3 linked regions of the Oryzias latipes genome follow. The protein of the gene in region 1 binds, or shares a complex with, the protein of each later gene. Links are inferred from orthologs where the notes say so. Each region holds a gene or a part of one and is shown in the gene's direction. Other genes may lie near its edges.

What was found. Proteins that work in one complex are often made in the same cells at the same time.
Region 2: ddx46 (region 1) and sf3a1 share a complex: the UniProt entries of both Homo sapiens proteins name them as parts of the 17S U2 SnRNP complex. The link is inferred for Oryzias latipes from reciprocal best matches to the Homo sapiens genes DDX46 and SF3A1.
Region 3: ddx46 (region 1) and sf3b4 share a complex: the UniProt entries of both Homo sapiens proteins name them as parts of the 17S U2 SnRNP complex. The link is inferred for Oryzias latipes from reciprocal best matches to the Homo sapiens genes DDX46 and SF3B4.

The regions. Positions count from the first base shown.
Region 1 is NC_019872.2:3,745,490-3,751,093, reverse strand, and holds part of ddx46 (probable ATP-dependent RNA helicase DDX46), read left to right. Parts: coding exon 1-89; intron 90-216; coding exon 217-327; intron 328-417; coding exon 418-583; intron 584-1,310; coding exon 1,311-1,431; intron 1,432-1,518; coding exon 1,519-1,694; intron 1,695-2,859; coding exon 2,860-2,981; intron 2,982-3,417; coding exon 3,418-3,496; intron 3,497-4,270; coding exon 4,271-4,353; intron 4,354-5,490; coding exon 5,491-5,604. UniProt on the Homo sapiens protein: Component of the 17S U2 SnRNP complex of the spliceosome, a large ribonucleoprotein complex that removes introns from transcribed pre-mRNAs.
Region 2 is NC_019867.2:18,884,728-18,890,963, reverse strand, and holds the start of sf3a1 (splicing factor 3A subunit 1), read left to right. Parts: upstream 1-2,124; 5' UTR 2,125-2,147; intron 2,148-2,258; 5' UTR 2,259-2,300; coding exon 2,301-2,348; intron 2,349-2,840; coding exon 2,841-2,950; intron 2,951-3,032; coding exon 3,033-3,237; intron 3,238-3,311; coding exon 3,312-3,569; intron 3,570-3,653; coding exon 3,654-3,728; intron 3,729-3,793; coding exon 3,794-3,944; intron 3,945-4,024; coding exon 4,025-4,221; intron 4,222-4,325; coding exon 4,326-4,443; intron 4,444-4,547; coding exon 4,548-4,855; intron 4,856-4,990; coding exon 4,991-5,236; intron 5,237-5,434; coding exon 5,435-5,633; intron 5,634-5,744; coding exon 5,745-5,899; intron 5,900-6,236. Other genes in the region: ccdc157 (coiled-coil domain-containing protein 157), read right to left, coding at 1-119, 258-427, 535-612, 696-1,383, 1,472-1,622, 1,760-2,124. UniProt on the Homo sapiens protein: Component of the 17S U2 SnRNP complex of the spliceosome, a large ribonucleoprotein complex that removes introns from transcribed pre-mRNAs.
Region 3 is NC_019869.2:7,215,266-7,221,487, forward strand, and holds the start of sf3b4 (splicing factor 3B subunit 4), read left to right. Parts: upstream 1-2,110; 5' UTR 2,111-2,170; coding exon 2,171-2,204; intron 2,205-2,795; coding exon 2,796-2,924; intron 2,925-3,009; coding exon 3,010-3,561; intron 3,562-4,040; coding exon 4,041-4,199; intron 4,200-4,389; coding exon 4,390-4,545; intron 4,546-6,222. UniProt on the Homo sapiens protein: Component of the 17S U2 SnRNP complex of the spliceosome, a large ribonucleoprotein complex that removes introns from transcribed pre-mRNAs.

The DNA.
Region 1 (5,604 bases):
ACGAAGTGGATCCTTTGGATGCTTACATGGAGGAGGTGAAGCAGGAGGTGAAGAAGTTCAACATGAGTGACATGAAGGGAAATGACAAAGTGAGTAAAGTGTTTTCACGCTAACATTTTTCTTATTTATATTTTGCTGTTGGATAAGACGCTGTTTCCGTTTGGCGTCTGTTTTTCTTCTTCTGTTGGTGATATTTGTTTTCTTTTTTTCCCACAGAAAGGGGCGATGATGGTAACTAAAGTTGTGACAGTCGTCAAAACCAAAAAAGGAGCCGGCACTCACAAGAAGAAGGGCGAGCTGATGGAGAATGACCAGGATGCCATGGAGGTGGGTCGCCTTTAGCTGCTTTCTGCAGCCTTTCTCCAAACGATGACTGTGCTGGAAATAAACGGCCACAATTCTCCTGCTGTGAGACAGTACTCATCAGAGGAAGAGGAGGTGGACTTGCAGACTGCCCTGACAGGGTTTCAGACCAAACAGAGGAAGATCCTGGAACCTGTCGACCACGCAAAGATCCAGTATGAGCCCTACCGCAAAAACTTCTATGTGGAGGTTCCTGAGCTGGCAAAGATGACAACAGAGGGTCAGTAAGCCAAAGTTAAGATCCAAAGAAATGATCTATAGTTAAATGTATTTATTCACTACAAAGGAAGAAAAGTATAGGGGGGGGAATCATAAAGCAACAAGTTGGAAATTTTTTTAATCATTGCTGTCAGGTGTAGATGCTGGTCTAAAAGGGGCGGGGCCTGTCCACACTCACTCAAATGTTACAAACATGCCTGTTATCTCCAAAGATGTTCACATACAAACATGTACACAACACAACTACTGTTCACACACACACACACATACTTATGCATGCGGACCAACACGTGTGAAACATTTCATTCAGTCACGCAAACTATTTGTGCAAAGGTGAGCTCACACCTGCGCTCCAGTGAGTGTTTCTGTTCTGCTGGGGTGAATGATGGCAAACACGTCAACCCCCCAGACCAGGGCCAACAGGACCGCCACATGGGCCCCCAACGCCGAGATCACAACCAGAAGAATAGCAGCCCCAGACGAGCTGCCCACCACCACTCGGGGTTATGTTTATTTCATGTTTTGTAAAGCTGAAACCGTTTTGAAAGCTTCACGTTATATTTTGAAGGAGAAGTATATTAATGGTGGCATTCCTACGCCAATGTGTTTGGTAAACGCACCGGTGCGTTGGAGGACTTCTATGGGTTAAACGACTTCCTTAGTTGTTAGTTTGTCTTCATTGATGTTCCAGCTCACACGTGTGCTCGGTTGTTCTCCCATCCATGCAGAAGTGAATGCATACAGGTTAGAACTGGAAGGCATTATGGTGAAAGGAAAAGGCTGTCCTAAACCCATCAAGACCTGGGTGCAGTGCGGGGTGTCCATGAAAATCCTTTCCGCTCTGAAGAAGTGAGTTGATGTTTGATGCGATGGTTTACCAACCGTAAACACGCGTGACCAAACACTAGTAATACTTTTTCCTCACCAATCCACCAGGCAGGGCTACGATAAACCCACCCCCATCCAGGCTCAGGCCATCCCCGCCATCATGTCGGGTCGAGACCTCATTGGCATCGCGAAGACGGGCAGCGGCAAAACCATCGCGTTCCTGCTCCCAATGTTCCGACACATCATGGACCAGAGGCCCCTGGAGGAGTCTGAGGGACCCATCTGTAAGATCGTTTGCAACTTTTTGTTTTCTCCGCTGCTTTTTACTGTTGTAACTAGAAATGTCCCGACCCGATCACGTAGTTTCAGACTTCATCAGAATCGGATGTTGTATCTCGATCAGGGATCAGATATTTATTTTATTCTCCTTATTGTGATCAACACTAGACATTCAAATCTTATTATTACAGATCAATGCTCTGCTATAAGTCTGCATATCATGAATGGATCCCAACATTCTTTTGCCGTAAAGTGTAGCAGAAGAACACACTAGCATGAGCGGGAGGCGCACAAAAACAGTTCAGTAAAGGAACTGTAGAGTAGAGTCATACTTCTGAGATCAACAACTCTTCAATAAACTTTTAGAACTGACAGCAAGGGTCTCCGTAGGTTTGTGTTAATGCAAACAACCTTAAAGAAAGTATATTTTTAAATCTTTTAGATGAGAATAAACGCAGAGACAGCAGTGAGACAGCTGCTAAGGGACCGTTTACTAACTGCAAGCTCCAGGAAAAAGTGACAAAAACAACCAAACTTCATCAAATGTTACACTGACATAAGCTGGTCATGAAAACTCGTCATCATCTTTATGCTACAACCATTTTGGATGAAAGTCATTTATAGTTTTAATTAATTTGCATGTAAACAAGAATCTTAATTATAATAAAATGTTCAGTAGTTCTGAAGATACTAAACCTAAAGTCCCTCAACTTCTTCATATGACTAATTATCACCTAATCAACTAGTTAATCGTTAACTATTTTTCCTACTGAAAGTTGCTCTGTTTACTTGATTGTTAAAGCTATACTTCACTGAGACGCACTGTTTAAATATTAAATGATAAAAAATTAAAAAACATCCTGGATCTGTTCATATATAGCATTTGTTCTTTATTTTTTATGCATTTGATCAGGACTCTGTATCAGCAGAAACTCAAAATCAAATGACTCTGAATGCAATCGGTGCCAAAAAAACCTGATCAGGACGTCCCTGACTGGAACCAACTGCAGTGAGATGAACTAAACTAGAACCAACGTTCTTCCTGTTTTAACAACAATTCTTACTGCTTGTAGTGAATAGTTGATGACAGAATTGATAATAAATATTTGTACCTCATGTAAAGCTCAAGGCTTAGGAATCCACTCATGTGTTGTTCTCCGTCTGCTGCAGCTGTGATCATGACGCCGACCAGAGAGCTGGCTCTGCAGATCACAAAGGAATGCAAGAAGTTCTCCAAAGCACTGGGACTCAGGGTGGTGTGTGTTTACGGGGGCACAGGCATCAGTGAGCAGGTGAGATATTCAGTATACTACATGAACCCATATTGATCTACAGTAAAGCAAAAAATGCAGTTTTTGAATTTTTAAGTCATTCTGAACATTGGGAATGTTTGCAATGTTGGACTGCAAATCTTCTCATAATAACGGATTTTTTAGACTGATTTGAAATATGTTGTTTTGGAATAAAAAAAAAATTTCTGAATATATTTATTTTATTGAAAAATAAATAGTCAAGGCAGTGAAGCAAAGCTTTGATTTTTCGGTTTAGACTTTTTTTTTCTGGGTTCTTTAAAGGAAGATCTCCGTAAAGATGGACAGAACATTTAAGTCATTAAAGTTGCAGTAACTTAATCAGGATTGCAAAAAAATAGTATAACACAAAAATGTATGAATGTAATGAGTATTGGAAGATTCTGAAGACCTCAACTCTGTGGTTGTTACTCCTCAGATTGCTGAGCTGAAGAGAGGAGCTGAGATCATCGTGTGCACCCCAGGAAGAATGATTGACATGTTGGGGGCCAACAGCGGTGAGTTTGTCTGCCTGTATCCCCCCATTCAAGACAATGTCACTGAAAGAAGACAGTTTGAGAGCTTTTTAATTGGTTAAATGTTGTAGCATGATTATATTTCAAAACCGTACCATTTACTAAACTGTTGACGTTGTTTGACCGCTGGAGATCAGTCGATCTACAAGATCCTGAAGATCAGGGCCAAGCACAGGTAGGTGGGCTGGCGCTGCTTTCCACGGTTTCATCCAACCTGCAACGCTCACTAAGTCTACACTGCATCACCGTTATACCTTCAGCATATCTGCTAGCTGAGCTTTGTATCGTGTCGTGATAAATGTGGTTTTGGGCTCATGAAAGCCGCTGATTCTCACTTGGACTGTGGGTTTAGGAAAGCATCCTCTGCTTACGTTTGTCAATGAGGAGGTTGCTCTGGTTTCCACACATGCGAGGTAATCTCTAATATGTTTCCCTTGTAGGTAAAAAGGCGCTCGGTCAGGTAATGCTTGATGGGGCGCCAGCTCTTGTATTGTCTTGAGGCTGTTTTCTGACATTTACAGGTCCGTCGTGCCCCTAAGATGGTACGCAAGAGCAGAGAGAAGCCAAAAAAACAAAACACTTCACAACTGCAAATAGATTAGAACCCCACACCTGAGGGAACATTTGTTTTGATAAATAATAGACTGACGAGCATCTTAACAAAAATATATAGTTGAAAATTTTGGAAAAAGCTGTTTGTGTGGCTTTTTGTTGAAGGTGATGGATTTCCTCCTGCTCCTTTTTCTTGATGTGTAGGTCGGGTTACCAACCTGCGCAGAGCGACCTATGTGGTGTTGGACGAAGCTGACAGGATGTTCGACATGGGGTTTGAGCCCCAGGTGGGTGTGGCGCCACTTTACCCGTTTTCTCACCATTTTCCTCTTTAGGCCTGCTAGCTCACTTTCATGTGTTTGGATGGTACTTTATCCTGTATTTGTGAAGACACAAGTGAATTAACAAATACACTAACCTGCCCTCTACATAGGGATGCGGTACCAAAGCCGGTACCATTTGGTATCGATGCCACGTCCATGTTTTTACCGGACATATAAGTTTCAGCCTTAACGGTATTTCTTAACGGTACCGGCATAGTGGCGTTGCAACAGCCCCGACATGGCCAACACTACTTTGTTTGGATGTGGGTTAGTAGAACTGGCCGTCTGTCTCTCTCTTCTCGCTGCTTTTTGGGGAGGGGCTTCTCCCGCCGCACGTGCTTTCACACACACATAGTCCTGCACTAACGGTGACAAAAACCGCACGTGGACGGCAGAACAGCCGCGAGCAAAAAGGTCCAAAGTGTGGCTGTATTTCCAAAGTACAGAGGCTAAGAAGTTTTTTGTTTTTTCAGCCACAATTGTGCAAGGGTCTCACTTAAAGATGAGAGGTAGACCTCAACTATGACGGACAAAATGAAAAAAAGAAATACAGAAAATCACTGTCTGATTTTTAAAGAATTTTTGTGAATTATGGTGGAAAATAAATGTTTGGTCAAGATTTCTGGCTCTCACAGACCTGTAAGAGGATCCCGTGTCTTCCACTGGTTACCTGTATTAATGGCACCCGTTTGAACTGGTTATCTATAGAAAGACACCTGTCCACAACCTCAAACAGTCACACTCCAAACTCCTCTGTGGCAGAGACCAAAGAGCTGTCTAAGGACACCAGAAACAAAATTATTAACCTGCACCAGGCTGGAAAGACTGAATCTGCAACAGTACTGCAGCTTGGTGTGGTGGTATTATTACAAAGAGACCTTAATATTTATTGATCATTTTATTTTACATCAAAGAATGTTAAATTAACATTGTGTTTTAATCTTTCTAAAATGAAAGGTTTTCCTGTACACAGGTAATTTTTCTTTTCCCTCCTTGTTTTCACACAGAAAAGTATTGATAAGAAAAGCGAATCGATGAGCAGTATCAGTAACAGGAGTAGTATTAACATCTCAATGATTCCCATCCCCACCTCTACACCAGGTGATGCGTATTGTGGACAATGTACGTCCAGACCGGCAGACCGTCATGTTCTCAGCGACCTTCCCCAGAGCCATGGAGGCGCTGGCCCGCAGGATCCTCTCCAAGCCCATCGAG
Region 2 (6,236 bases), on another chromosome or scaffold:
TCATTGTCTAACTTCATTTGGGCCTCCTCGCTGTCCACCAGCTGCTTCTTCAGCTCTTCACACTCTTCATCAAGATCTTCAACCCTCTTTAGCAAAGATTTCTGCTTTACCTGTGTTGACTAGACACAAAATAAAGCAAGAAAACATCAAAATCTATATTCAGATTTCTTCTTAACGGGTACCGATTTGAGGTTTCAACATCTCAAGCTGATTTAACATGTAGTTATAGATTTTTCTTTTCTTTTTGAGACACAGACCTCTTGCTGACGGCAAGCACTCTGGTATTTGGCCCTCTCCTTATCAAGCAGCAGCTGAATGTCAGAGAGTTGTTCCTCAAGCTGATGGATCCTTTGCTGCTGTTGACAACATGCCTCCTGGTCTGTTTGTAGTTTTTTTACTTTCACTTGCAGAAAATTATTTTCACTTTCTAAGAAGGAGGACAAAGATTTGTTATGTAGTAACACAGCAATTTTATGAAAAAAACGTTTTTTTGCTATGAAAATGATAAAAACAAATGAAGTTAGGCTATTTTACCTAGAGTGTGTATGGTGTCTTGCTGCAATGCTACCTTCTCCCTAAGTCTAGCATTGGTCTCCTCTGAAGAATGGATTTCTGTTTTAAAGAAATTGAAAAAACAAAAAAGTTTAAACATGATCCTAACTTGTTTTTATTGTGCTGGTTAATGTGATTAATACCTTTTTTAAGCTGTTTATGCTCCTCCTGTTGCTTTTGTTCAGTTTGCTTTGCGCTTCTCTGTGCTTCCTGCAGTGAAAACTCCAGTTGTTCTATATTTGTTTGCTGTTTTTCTAGTTGTTGTTCAAAATCCTTCTGCACTGTTTTTAGTTGAGATCTGATGGCCTCACGATCCGTTTCAGCTGCTGCTACTCTGTCTTGGAGGGGCAGTACCGTTCCCCTCACATCCTGCAGGTGTTTTGCCAGCCTGCGCATGTCTCTGAGCTGTTCATTGGCCCACTGTGCAACATCACCTGGAGTCAGATGTCCCACCCTCACTGTCTCATCCACAACTGCTGAGAGAGGCTGCAGAGATGAGGGTAGACCTTCACTTTGAAACAGATCTATCAAAGATTCTCCAGTTTTTCTCAAAAGAGATTGCACTTGGTGACATGTACCACAAGGGATGAGGGACGTTTGTGCAGTCTGGCAGCTGACATTATGGGAGGCAGTTTTAGGATGGAATGAGGTTTGTTCGGGGGAACTGATGGTGATGTTATTTTGTGGGAGGAATTTAAATGAGCTTGTGGAAGACCAGGATATGGAAGAATGCCTGGAGCAACTTGTGCTGGATCTATTGAGAGGGGACTCGACGTTTGACTCATCAGATTCCACTGAATTTGTCTTTTCTGCAATGTTTTTGAAGAGTTCCTAAAAAGACATAAAAGGCATTTAAAGTCAAATACTTTTGCATGTGTTTTTATCCCTGTGGCATTACTAGAAAAAGAGGTTTCTTTACCTTTTTATCTGCAAATTGAAGTAAATCCCCCCAATAATTCCTGACCACAAGACCAACTGACATGCTGCCTCTGTGTGCAGCTCCTTCTGGTCTGTGGACCCCCATCTGTTGTTCAGCATAAACGCTGACGCTTTGAAGAAGAAACAGGAGCCTTGTTGGGGAACAAGAACATGCAGAGATGCTTTTAAAGTCATTATATATATATATATATATATATATATATATATATATATATATATATATATATATATATATATATATTTTACATGCAATACAACATTAGGTTACCTGTCAATCATCAATTCCAGGAGAATAATGTGGGAATGCTGATTGAAGTCATCTTCTCCTGCCACGAAGTCATATTCCTCCAACAAAGCAACAATGTCTAGATGACAGGAAAGTTTGTCCGGGAATTTCCAGGAGGAAGCGCAGACTGGTCCTGTTCTGGAGAGCACGTCCAGAACCGCACCCTGAATATCGATGAGGTCTTTTCTTAGATTCTTGATAGAATCCTGACGACCCAACAACAAACTCATGTCTAAAACGCTTATTTGGCGCCTATAAGTACTTGTTGACGTGAGGTCTCCTTGGCAACAGTTAACTCCAAGTCCCACAGTTCTTAGCGGATATTTCCGGAAGTAATTGGCCGCCATTGCGTTAACGAAAACGAGACGCGGTGAGTATTAACGTCGACAAATAAAGAATTATAGCTGTATTAGCTATTACTTTTTGACTTACAGAATTTTTTTTAAAGAATTCATTTCAAAATATATGTGTGTTGCTTTAGTGTTTTCAGGTAAAATTGGTGATTCGTTAAAAAGACGCAGCCATGCCGCCCGGGCCTGTTCAAATGGTTCAGCCTGAGCCTAACAACAAGGTAAGGACGCTAACTAGCTAACATTAGCCTCAGATATCCGTCGCTTTTCTTAATGATTTATCGCCTTATAAAATTCGCCCCCTTTATGCAAAGCTTTCTAAGCCTGTCCAAAATTAAATGCTAATGTTTATAAAGCTGTAAAACATATGGGGCAACGTTTGCGTCTATATGTGTGGCCCTAAAAATTCCCAAGTTGAGAAAGTCAATAAAATTAGGTAACAGATATTACTTAAACTATGATTGCACTTCAATATTTGGTATCTTTGCATATGGTTTAGACTAAATGTGTTAGTTGTATTCTCAGGTTTTTAATGATCGAGTGGTTTAATGTTTAAATTGTTGCAGTGTATCTTAGAATTACCTAAAGTAAGTCTTATTAATTAATAAGTGAATTGATAATGTTTGTGTAATAATATTTTTAAGGAGGAACTTCACTGTACTTGATGTTATTTTTAAATATAAATATTCTTACTTTGAACCTTCTCTTGTCAGAATGATACACCTCCGGAGGAAACTCCAGCCACTAAACCTATTGTTGGCATCATATATCCTCCTCCTGAGGTCCGTAATATAGTTGACAAGACTGCGAGCTTTGTTGCCAGGTTGGTTGCCAAAGAACTGTCACGTACAGCTGTAAGAGGTGTTTGCTATCTGTAGTTTGACTCTATACTTGTCACTTTACAGGAATGGGCCTGAGTTTGAAGCAAGAATCCGTCAGAATGAGATCAACAATCCAAAATTTAATTTCCTCAACCCCAACGATCCCTACCATGCTTACTACCGCCACAAAGTCAATGAGTTTAAGGAGGGCAAAGCTCAAGAACCGTCCGCCGCAGTGCCCAAGGTTATGCAGCAGGCTATGCAGCAATCTCAGCAGCTTCCACAAAAAGTAAGGACTGTCTATTTACTGTGCCCGGACCTACAAGGGTTTATATTTATACAAACTTGCCTTTTCTTCATCAGGTGCAGTCCCAGGTGATTCAGGAAACTGTGGTCCCCAAAGAACCGCCTCCAGAGTTTGAATTCATAGCTGATCCTCCATCAATCTCTGCATTCGATCTTGATGTTGTGAAGCTCACTGCCCAGTTTGTTGCACGAAACGGCCGTCAGTTTCTCACCCAGCTCATGCAAAAAGAACAGAGGAACTACCAATTTGACTTTTTGAGACCCCAGCACAGCCTTTTCAACTACTTCACAAAACTGGTGGAACAATATACCAAGGTAAAGGACAAAAATTACAGCTTTCTTTGTTTTTTTATTGAAACTGTGTTATTGAACTTTTTTAAATGTTGCCTCAACCTTTAGATTCTGATCCCCCCAAAGGGTCTGCTGGCCAAACTAAAGAGAGAGGCTGAGAATCCAAAGGAGGTTATGGACCAGGTAATTTATTTTAGCCTTCAGAAGATTATTTTCTATGTTTAAAACTGTCTTGTTACAAACATCAGGTGAGATACCGTGTTGAGTGGGCAAAGTACCAGGAGCGTGAGAGAAAGAAGGAGGAAGAGGAGCGAGAGAAGGAACGCGTAGCCTATGCTCAAATTGACTGGCATGACTTTGTCGTGGTGGAGACTGTGGACTTCCAGCCCAATGAACAAGGTAGCATGACTATAGGAACACCAGGTCCAGATGTTGCAAGAACCATAGTTATTAATTTATTCATTTGGTGTTTTTCCAAGGCCACTTCCCCCCACCTACCACTCCAGAGGAGCTTGGTGCTCGAATCCTCATCCAGGAGCGCTATGAGAAGTATGGAGAAAGTGAGGAGGTGGAGATGGAAGTTGAGAGTGAGGATGAAGAGGATGAACGGGAGAAACGAGCCGGAGGTCAACCCTCACAGCCTGACCAAGACACACAAGTGCAGGACATGGATGAGGTAAACAGTTATCATTTACTACATTTATACAAAGTCCAACACTTGTCTAGGTTTCTTGGTTACTTGTGTAGCAAATTCACAAATTTAAAATGCTACTTCTCCAGGGATCAGATGATGAGGACGATGGAATTAAAGCTCCACTTCCACCTGACAACCCCATGCCACCTCCTCTGCCCCCGACTCCAGACCACGTCATCATTCGAAAAGACTATGATCCCAAAGGTACATTTTTTTCTGTGATTGAAATATTATGAAGTATAAAAACAAGCAAATAAAACAAGCGGTGCATTAAAACTTGTTTCCTTTTTTTTTTTTTTTTTTCACAGCCTCCAAGCCTATGCCCTCAGTTGCAGCTCCAGATGAGTACCTCATTTCACCAATCACTGGTGAGAAGATCCCAGCCAGCAAGATGCAGGAGCACATGCGCATTGGTCTGCTGGACCCACGCTGGCTGGAACAAAGAGACCGCAGCATCAGGGATAGACAGACAGAGGATGAAGTCTATGCTCCTGGTCTGGATATCGAGAGCAGCTTGAAGCAGCTCGCTGAGAGGCGTACTGATATCTTTGGTGTTGAAGAGACAGCCATTGGTAAGAAGATTGGTGAAGAGGAAATCCAGAAGCCAGAGGAGAAGGTGAGTTCCGTAGAAAGTAGCATGGTTTTTGTGAAAAGCATCATTTGAACTCGTTTTTTTATCAACCTGATAGATTTTTTGTGAATACGCGTTCAACTTTTGTCTGAACTTTTTGGATTCTTGTGACGTGTCCAGGTTACCTGGGATGGCCACTCTGGAAGCATGGCTCGCACCCAGCAGGCAGCGCAGGCCAACATCACTCTACAGGAGCAGATCGAAGCTATTCATAAGGCCAAAGGCCTGGTTGGAGAGGATGACACTAAAGAGAAGATTGGTCCAAACAAGCCAAGTGAAAATCATCAGCCTCCCATGCCCTCTTCTGCAGTCAACTTACCCAAACCCAGCCCCCCAGTCTCATCTGTGCCTCGACCCCCTGTTTCTGTAAGTGTCCGTCTGAAAGGACTTAAGTTTGTGTTGCGTTAATGTAGCTTTCTGTGCACAAACAGATCTCTGGGCAATTGAGGCACAAACATATTTTTGAATTCCTTGACCTAGACTTTCTTCTCTGTTTCACTGCTTGATAACTAAACTTTACCTTCCCTTTCCTGGAACTTGTTTTTCTCTTTTGATGGCAAACAGATGGCCCCTCCGGTGCGGACCACTCTTCTGTCTGCTGTGCCGGTGCTTCCAAGGCCTCCTGTGGTGCGCATTACCCCAGGCCAAGTTCTCACATCAATGCCTCCCATGATTCCTGGCCCACGCATCAACGTTGTTCCTATGCCACCGTCTGCACCTCATGTCATGGCCCCCAGACCACCTCCCATGGTTGTTCCTACAGGTAGGATGAGCAGTTTCACACCTAGAGTGTTTTTTTTGTGTCAGGCTGCATTAGAACCACATTCTTTTATTTATGTTTTTATTGCCATAATCTTTTTTCTTTCTTTCTTAGCATTTGTTCCCGCTCCTCCAATGCCTCAACCTCCAAGCGCTGCTCCAGCTCCCCCCCACCATCCACCCCCACCGCATGAAGACGAGCCATCCAGCAAGAAGATGAAAACGGAGGATAACCTCATGCCAGAGGAGGAGTTCCTTCGTAGAAACAAGGTCTGCTGAGATGACGAATTGCAGAAATACCCTGGGCTGAATTTCTAACCAACAAACTCCGCTGGCTTATTTATTATACTGTTCAAAAAGCAAAATTTGGTGCACAAGGCTTTATTAAATGTTAACAGAATAATTATTGAAATCAAAGGTTCACCAATTTTTTTCCCCCACCATTTGCATAATTATTTATTTAAACTGAACAAATATAAATGGGGATTTTTAACTTTCTCGTTAATTCCTTTTAATCCTGTTAGCTAATTCCTTTTACTAGTTTTGTTAAACTGTGACATCAAAGCTATCCATCTCTCTCTCTGTGTTTTATCTTTCTATCTATGTA
Region 3 (6,222 bases), on another chromosome or scaffold:
CCGAAGACAAAAAAGTCAGAGATAAGGCCGTCAATCTGTCAGACTCAAGACGTTCGTAACTCGATACACATTAGCCACATTAAAAGAGTTATTCCCATTACAATAACACGCAACGTTGTTTTCAACACATAAAAAACAGACTGAAACCGCTAAAACAGACATTACTGTGACTACGCTAACTCCCAACCTTGTTAGAAACGCACCAAAACCGCTACATGTTAGCTGCGTTAGCATATTCACACTAAACCATAACCAAATATTTTGACAGAGTGCCGCGTACCTATCAAAATTGCTTCGACATCAATAATCGCTACCAGAATCAATAGAAGGCCCTATTTTGAAAAAAAATATTGATGCTTTTAGGTCCACCACATAGTGCAGAAAATATGGTACTTATCCCGTGTACACCGTGTGTGCAGCATTTGTGTGCAGTCAATAAAGAGCTAGTATTCGCAACTTGCTCATGACAAGAGTGCAGCGTTAGGGCACCGTATGACGCACCACCTACATGTCATGTATGTGTAACTTCACTAAACTCCTACAACACCCATAATAATAGTACATTCCCTTTCACGACGTCCTTCTCTACAACCCTCCATGGTCCTGGACAACCTAAAAACAGCCGTACAGTTTTAACCGTACAGGTGAACGCAGGACTAAGGCTTTACTGATGCCTGCAGCAGCTGCTCAGGTTTAACAAGAATTAGATGGTAATCTGTCATCATGTTCCTTTTGTCTATTGTAGACTTCATTGTATGTGGTGAGAACACCAGCAGCCGAATGTATGCTCTGTGTCACCGACAGAAGGACCTACAATGCTGCTCTGGTATGGATTGTGTTTGAAATGTAGATGGATCAGGATTCAGTGTTGGTTAGAGGTACAATAAGAAGGTTAGAAAAAGGAGTTTGGAAAGTTTCTGAGCTGCTTTTCCTTTTTTGGTTTGAGATACCACAACTTTACATTGAGAAAATAAAATACAACCTCATAACACTTGTTGAAAAGTAAAAATCTTTATAGTTAGGCACCCTATAAACATGAAGGCAGTTGATCCGGTGGTCTTTTGAAGACGCTTGTGAATGCAGTTTATTGGACTGTCTCTACTTAAAAGATCAGTCTGGATTTAGGCAAATTAAACAGCAGGAGGGCTGGCATTTGTGCAGCACAATAAAAGTTTAGGAATTGGCAACATAAAATAACAGAAAATTATCCAAAAGACTGAGATTAAAGTCTACCATTTGGAATTGTGTTATGTTGATACAACTTTAAGAAAATAGGTAGTATTTGATTGTAAAACCTTTCAAAAACATCTTAATTAAAACTTTTTGGCCTTTACACTTCTTACATAATGGATCTGTAATTTGCTCAGTTACTTGAAACATTTGAAAGATTTCTAATGAGACTTAAAAGGAATGAACAGTTTGACTGAAATAAAAATTTGTTTTTTTCTGCTAAGTCTGTGACTCAAGTTGGATTAGTCAAAAGACTTTTTTCCTTTTTCTTTTCGTTTGATTATTATTATTATTATTTTTAGAAACAATGATTGCAATATCATAAGAGCCATCAAAAAATGATCTGAACATCTTTTTTATTAAGCTTTTGGAGACTTTGACCTATGTGTGTCCTTTTTGTTTCTTACTTTTCTAAATGAGCAGCCATTTTTAGCTCTTAATGTTCATTTTTTTTTAATGTAAAAGTCTCAGCTCTGTACACAAATGCATTTCACTTATGTTATTATTGATCAAGGCTTTTTTAACCCATTTTTATATATGCATTTATAAAATGAAAACATTGGCTTTTTGTGTTTTGAACTTTGTTGCATGACATGCTTTTTTATTTTATTTTGATACAGTATTGTTTTATAAAAATGGTTTTATTATGCCCAAATTGTATTTTGTATGAACAATTTGTATTCCATGTTTATACTTTTAGTAGATTTATATAAAAATGTATATAAATATGTAATAAATTGGTCCGTACAAAGTTTTGAACTTTATCTGGTCTTGTGTTTTTATTGTTCGATGCTATTAAAAAAATAATCTAAAACGAAGCAAAGATATTGTATTTTATTTTTTGAAAGAGGAGTTCATTTTATATTATAACTTCCGGTTTGCTGAACAGGAAGAGGCGGAGCTTCCTACATGAACGCTTCTGGTGCGTTGGTCATTCAACATGGCCGCGGGACCAATTTCTGAAAGAAACCAAGGTAATTTACGGAATTATTACCCATTTCTTTTGACATTTAGCCGTGCATAAATGTATGTAATGTGTAGTAACACCCAACAAGGGCACATTTTTCCTCATAGAGCGAATATGGATCCTAAAATTAGCTAATATTCTTCTGTTGAAACCGGGTAAACACATGGAGTGAAGCGGCTTTAGCCTAGCTTGTAGCTAATAAAGCCATTCTCCCAATTAATCGTTTATCGAATTTGCACTTTAGATGCACGTCCTTTTATATAAGCATTAAGCTGTGAAAAAACGTATACTCATTTCCATTGTTGCAAATCTATAAATAGAAAGAGAAAAAGCAATATTTTATGCCAGGAACTAATACTAAACAACTGCAACTTCTTTCATAATTTAACTTCAGTTCATTGACCTCATTTTATTCTTACCAGGCAGCATGATCATTAAATTTTTCACAGTTTCAACAATGGTTTTAAAAAGAACTAATGAAACTTTAAGTGAACATAAATATGGTCATTTCTTTTTGTAATTCGTATTCATTAACTTGTGTCAGAAAGTGGAAACCTTTGTAGTGTTTTACTCACCAAGCCTGCTCTTGTCTGTCCAGATGCCACGGTGTATGTCGGTGGGTTGGATGAGAAAGTGTCGGAGCCGTTGCTATGGGAACTCTTCCTGCAGGCTGGTCCTGTGGTAAACACGCACATGCCCAAAGACAGGGTCACGGGTCAACATCAGGGTGAGTGCACTTTCAGTTGGTCAACAAGATTGAACAATTATCTTCTTAGAAAATTATCTTTACAAAATTGTTTTTCTTTATTTAGGTTATGGCTTTGTGGAATTCCTCAGCGAAGAGGATGCTGATTATGCTATTAAAATAATGAATATGATCAAGCTCTATGGAAAACCCATTCGAGTCAATAAGGCCTCGGCACACAACAAAAACCTGGATGTGGGTGCGAACATCTTCATCGGTAACCTGGACCCAGAAATCGATGAGAAACTGCTCTACGACACATTCAGTGCCTTCGGTGTGATTCTCCAAACACCAAAGATCATGAGAGACCCAGACACCGGCAACTCCAAGGGTTACGCTTTTATCAACTTTGCCAGTTTTGATGCTTCTGATGCCGCCATCGAGGCCATGAATGGCCAGTACCTCTGTAACCGGCCCATCACTGTGTCGTACGCCTTCAAGAAAGATTCTAAAGGGGAGCGCCACGGCTCCGCCGCAGAGCGACTCCTGGCGGCGCAGAATCCGCTGTCCCAGGCGGACAGGCCCCACCAGCTGTTCGCTGATGCCCCACCACCTCCCTCTCTTCCCACCCCGGTCCTGACCACACTAGGAGCTGGAATGGGTATTCCGGGCATGGGAGGTGGGTGTTACGTCACATTTATGTGAAAATAGTTTTGTTTTTTTAAAGACTCGCTTTTATGAACATTGTCTTTTTGATGTATTTTTGTGGCATTTTTCTGATGATAGAGACAAAGAAAATGTAGCTCAAACTTGCATTTGACTGCAAACTGCAAAAATTAAAAACTGGATTTAAATCTGAAGCAGACAAAAAAAAAGGATTTTTCTGTAGTTTTACATAACTACTGCCATTCCGCAGAAACTATGTTCTAGAAAACAACACAGGATCTTTTGATTTTGGCTAAAAATGGCATCATCACCATCATCATTTTCATAAAAGACCGCTTTGAAAAAAGATCAAAGGATGATCAGTGTGGGACTTGTGTTTTGTGTTAGCCTAAACAAGTGTTTTTACAGATACAAATTAGCAATTAGCTGCAAAAATACAAACAAATGTACCCACAAGTCCTTCAAGTAGATTGTGTTGATTTGTGTGTGCAGGTCTGCCACCTCCTGGTGCCTTTCCCCCTGTTCCTCCCCCCGGATCACTCCCTCCTTCCATGGCCCATGGCATGGGGATGCCTCCATCAGCAGGTGGCCCACAGGGTATTGGCGGTCCAGGTGGACCACCACCCTTCCCGCCTGGAAGTATGCATCCAGGTGAGACATTGTGACTTCTTAAGAGTGGTTTTTGTCTTTCTGTCGGAGGAAATACAGAGGTTTTGAGCCTCAGAGCCGCGTTTACTTTGTTTGGCATCCGCATAAACATCTGAAAGTCAAAGCCTGTTCTCGTTTTAGTATCTAGTTTTTCTTCCCGCCACCTCCAGTTTGATCCGTTTCTGTCACTCAGGTATGCCTCAGATGCCCATGCACCCTCCCGCTCCGCCTGGCATGGTTCCACCTCCTCCTGCTCCACCAGGATCATCCCAACGCGCCCCGCCCCCCAACCTCCCCCCACCCCCGCCTATGGGCATGCCGCCCAGAGCACCATATGGACCCCCCATGGGTGAGTGTTATGACGCCTCTTCATGTCTCTGTCAAATAGAAAAAACACCTGAAAGGAAAAACGGCGTTGAAGGAAGTGTCAGAGTTGGCAGGATTTGGCAGAGACGCTCTGAAAGTGATGTAATGGGGGTTTGGTAAGGAACCAGGTCCGCCAATCATCTCAGTCACTGACTTACATTTATGAAATCACCTGTGCTTGTAGCATCCTAATATTTGAGTTGTTGATAAAGTAAAACTTCAAACAAATACCTACCTTTTCAAACTAAACTTGCTAATGAATTATTGTCAGCTGAATTAAGGATATCCTGATCAGATTCAGAGTCGTTTGGTTTTTAGTTTTGATTTGATCATTTTAGACTTAAACAGAGCACTTCAGTGAATAAGTTTGAACAATCGAGTAAAAATAGTGCAGCTTGGCCGTGGACCTCGTCTCGCGCCCCTAGCTGTCCCCCAGTTCTATCTGGATGAGGCCCGTCTGCTGGACTATTTAAACATCTAGTTGTAGATTTAGATAAGCTAATTCTTCTCTAGGAGTTCTGGTACGTCGCCTGTCCGTCCTGGCGAGAATCCCTACTTCATGTTGACACCCCTGCAGACTTTTAGCATAGTCGTTTTTGATCATAATTAGAATACAAGACATATAAGTTCTCTGATCCGGAAATAAAATCCGATTCACGCGATTCAGCTCCGCACATCCCTGGACAGATTTGCTAGTTTTAAAGCAGTAAATGGTTTTACAGCAGGGATGTGGATGAGTATTTTGAAAGAGGAGTGGCTGACATGTGGTCAGAGATGTATAAAGTTTAAAAAGTCCTTCTTACTTTACTGCAGTGGATTCAATTATTTTAGCTGCTCTAAAAATACTTAACTTTTTTACTTAATAAATGAGATGCTAATTCGGATCCATCTAAAGCATGGGTGTCATACTCATTTACACCGAGGGCCACATCTGCATAGCGGCTGTCCTCAAAGGGCCAGATATAACTTATACATGTAACTAAATGTAATGAAAAATAAATGTAACTACTCCTTAATGTTAAATAACTCATTATTTACTATAAATTTTTAAAGTGACAATTACAGTTGCATAGAAAACATGTTTGCTTGTTTTTCCAGCATAAATCCTTTTAAATTTGATTCTGTCAGGTTAGGTTATATGGACAGTGTTTAAGTCCTAATGTATAGTTGCCCTGTCTACACCATTTTTTTTATTTTATTTTAAGAAATTAAAAACTTTTATGATCTCGCGGGCCACATAAAATGACATGGAGGGCCACATTTGGCCCCCGGGCCTTGAGTTTGACACATGATCTAAAGGAACCCTTCAAACATAATCTGTTCCAAACTTTGGTCTCATTTCTTTTTCAACTGTGACTAAAATCAGTACAGTGACCTAATGACCTACGGCTTTAGTTTGACTTCGGCCTGGGCGAAAAATCGATTGAATCGATTCGAAATTTTTGTTACGGGCAGTAAGGCAAACGACAAACAACAACATCATAGCTCACACGGAACAACAAGCGACAACATGGCTACCGGTGAGAGTGGGAAGTTTGTTCCCAAGAAAGGAATAAAATGATCTGTTGTTTGGAACTGGTCTGGGTTTACTGCCACAGACACACACACAGTCATTCTACAAAACCTATATAGTTAGTTCATTAGTTAGATAGGTAGTAGT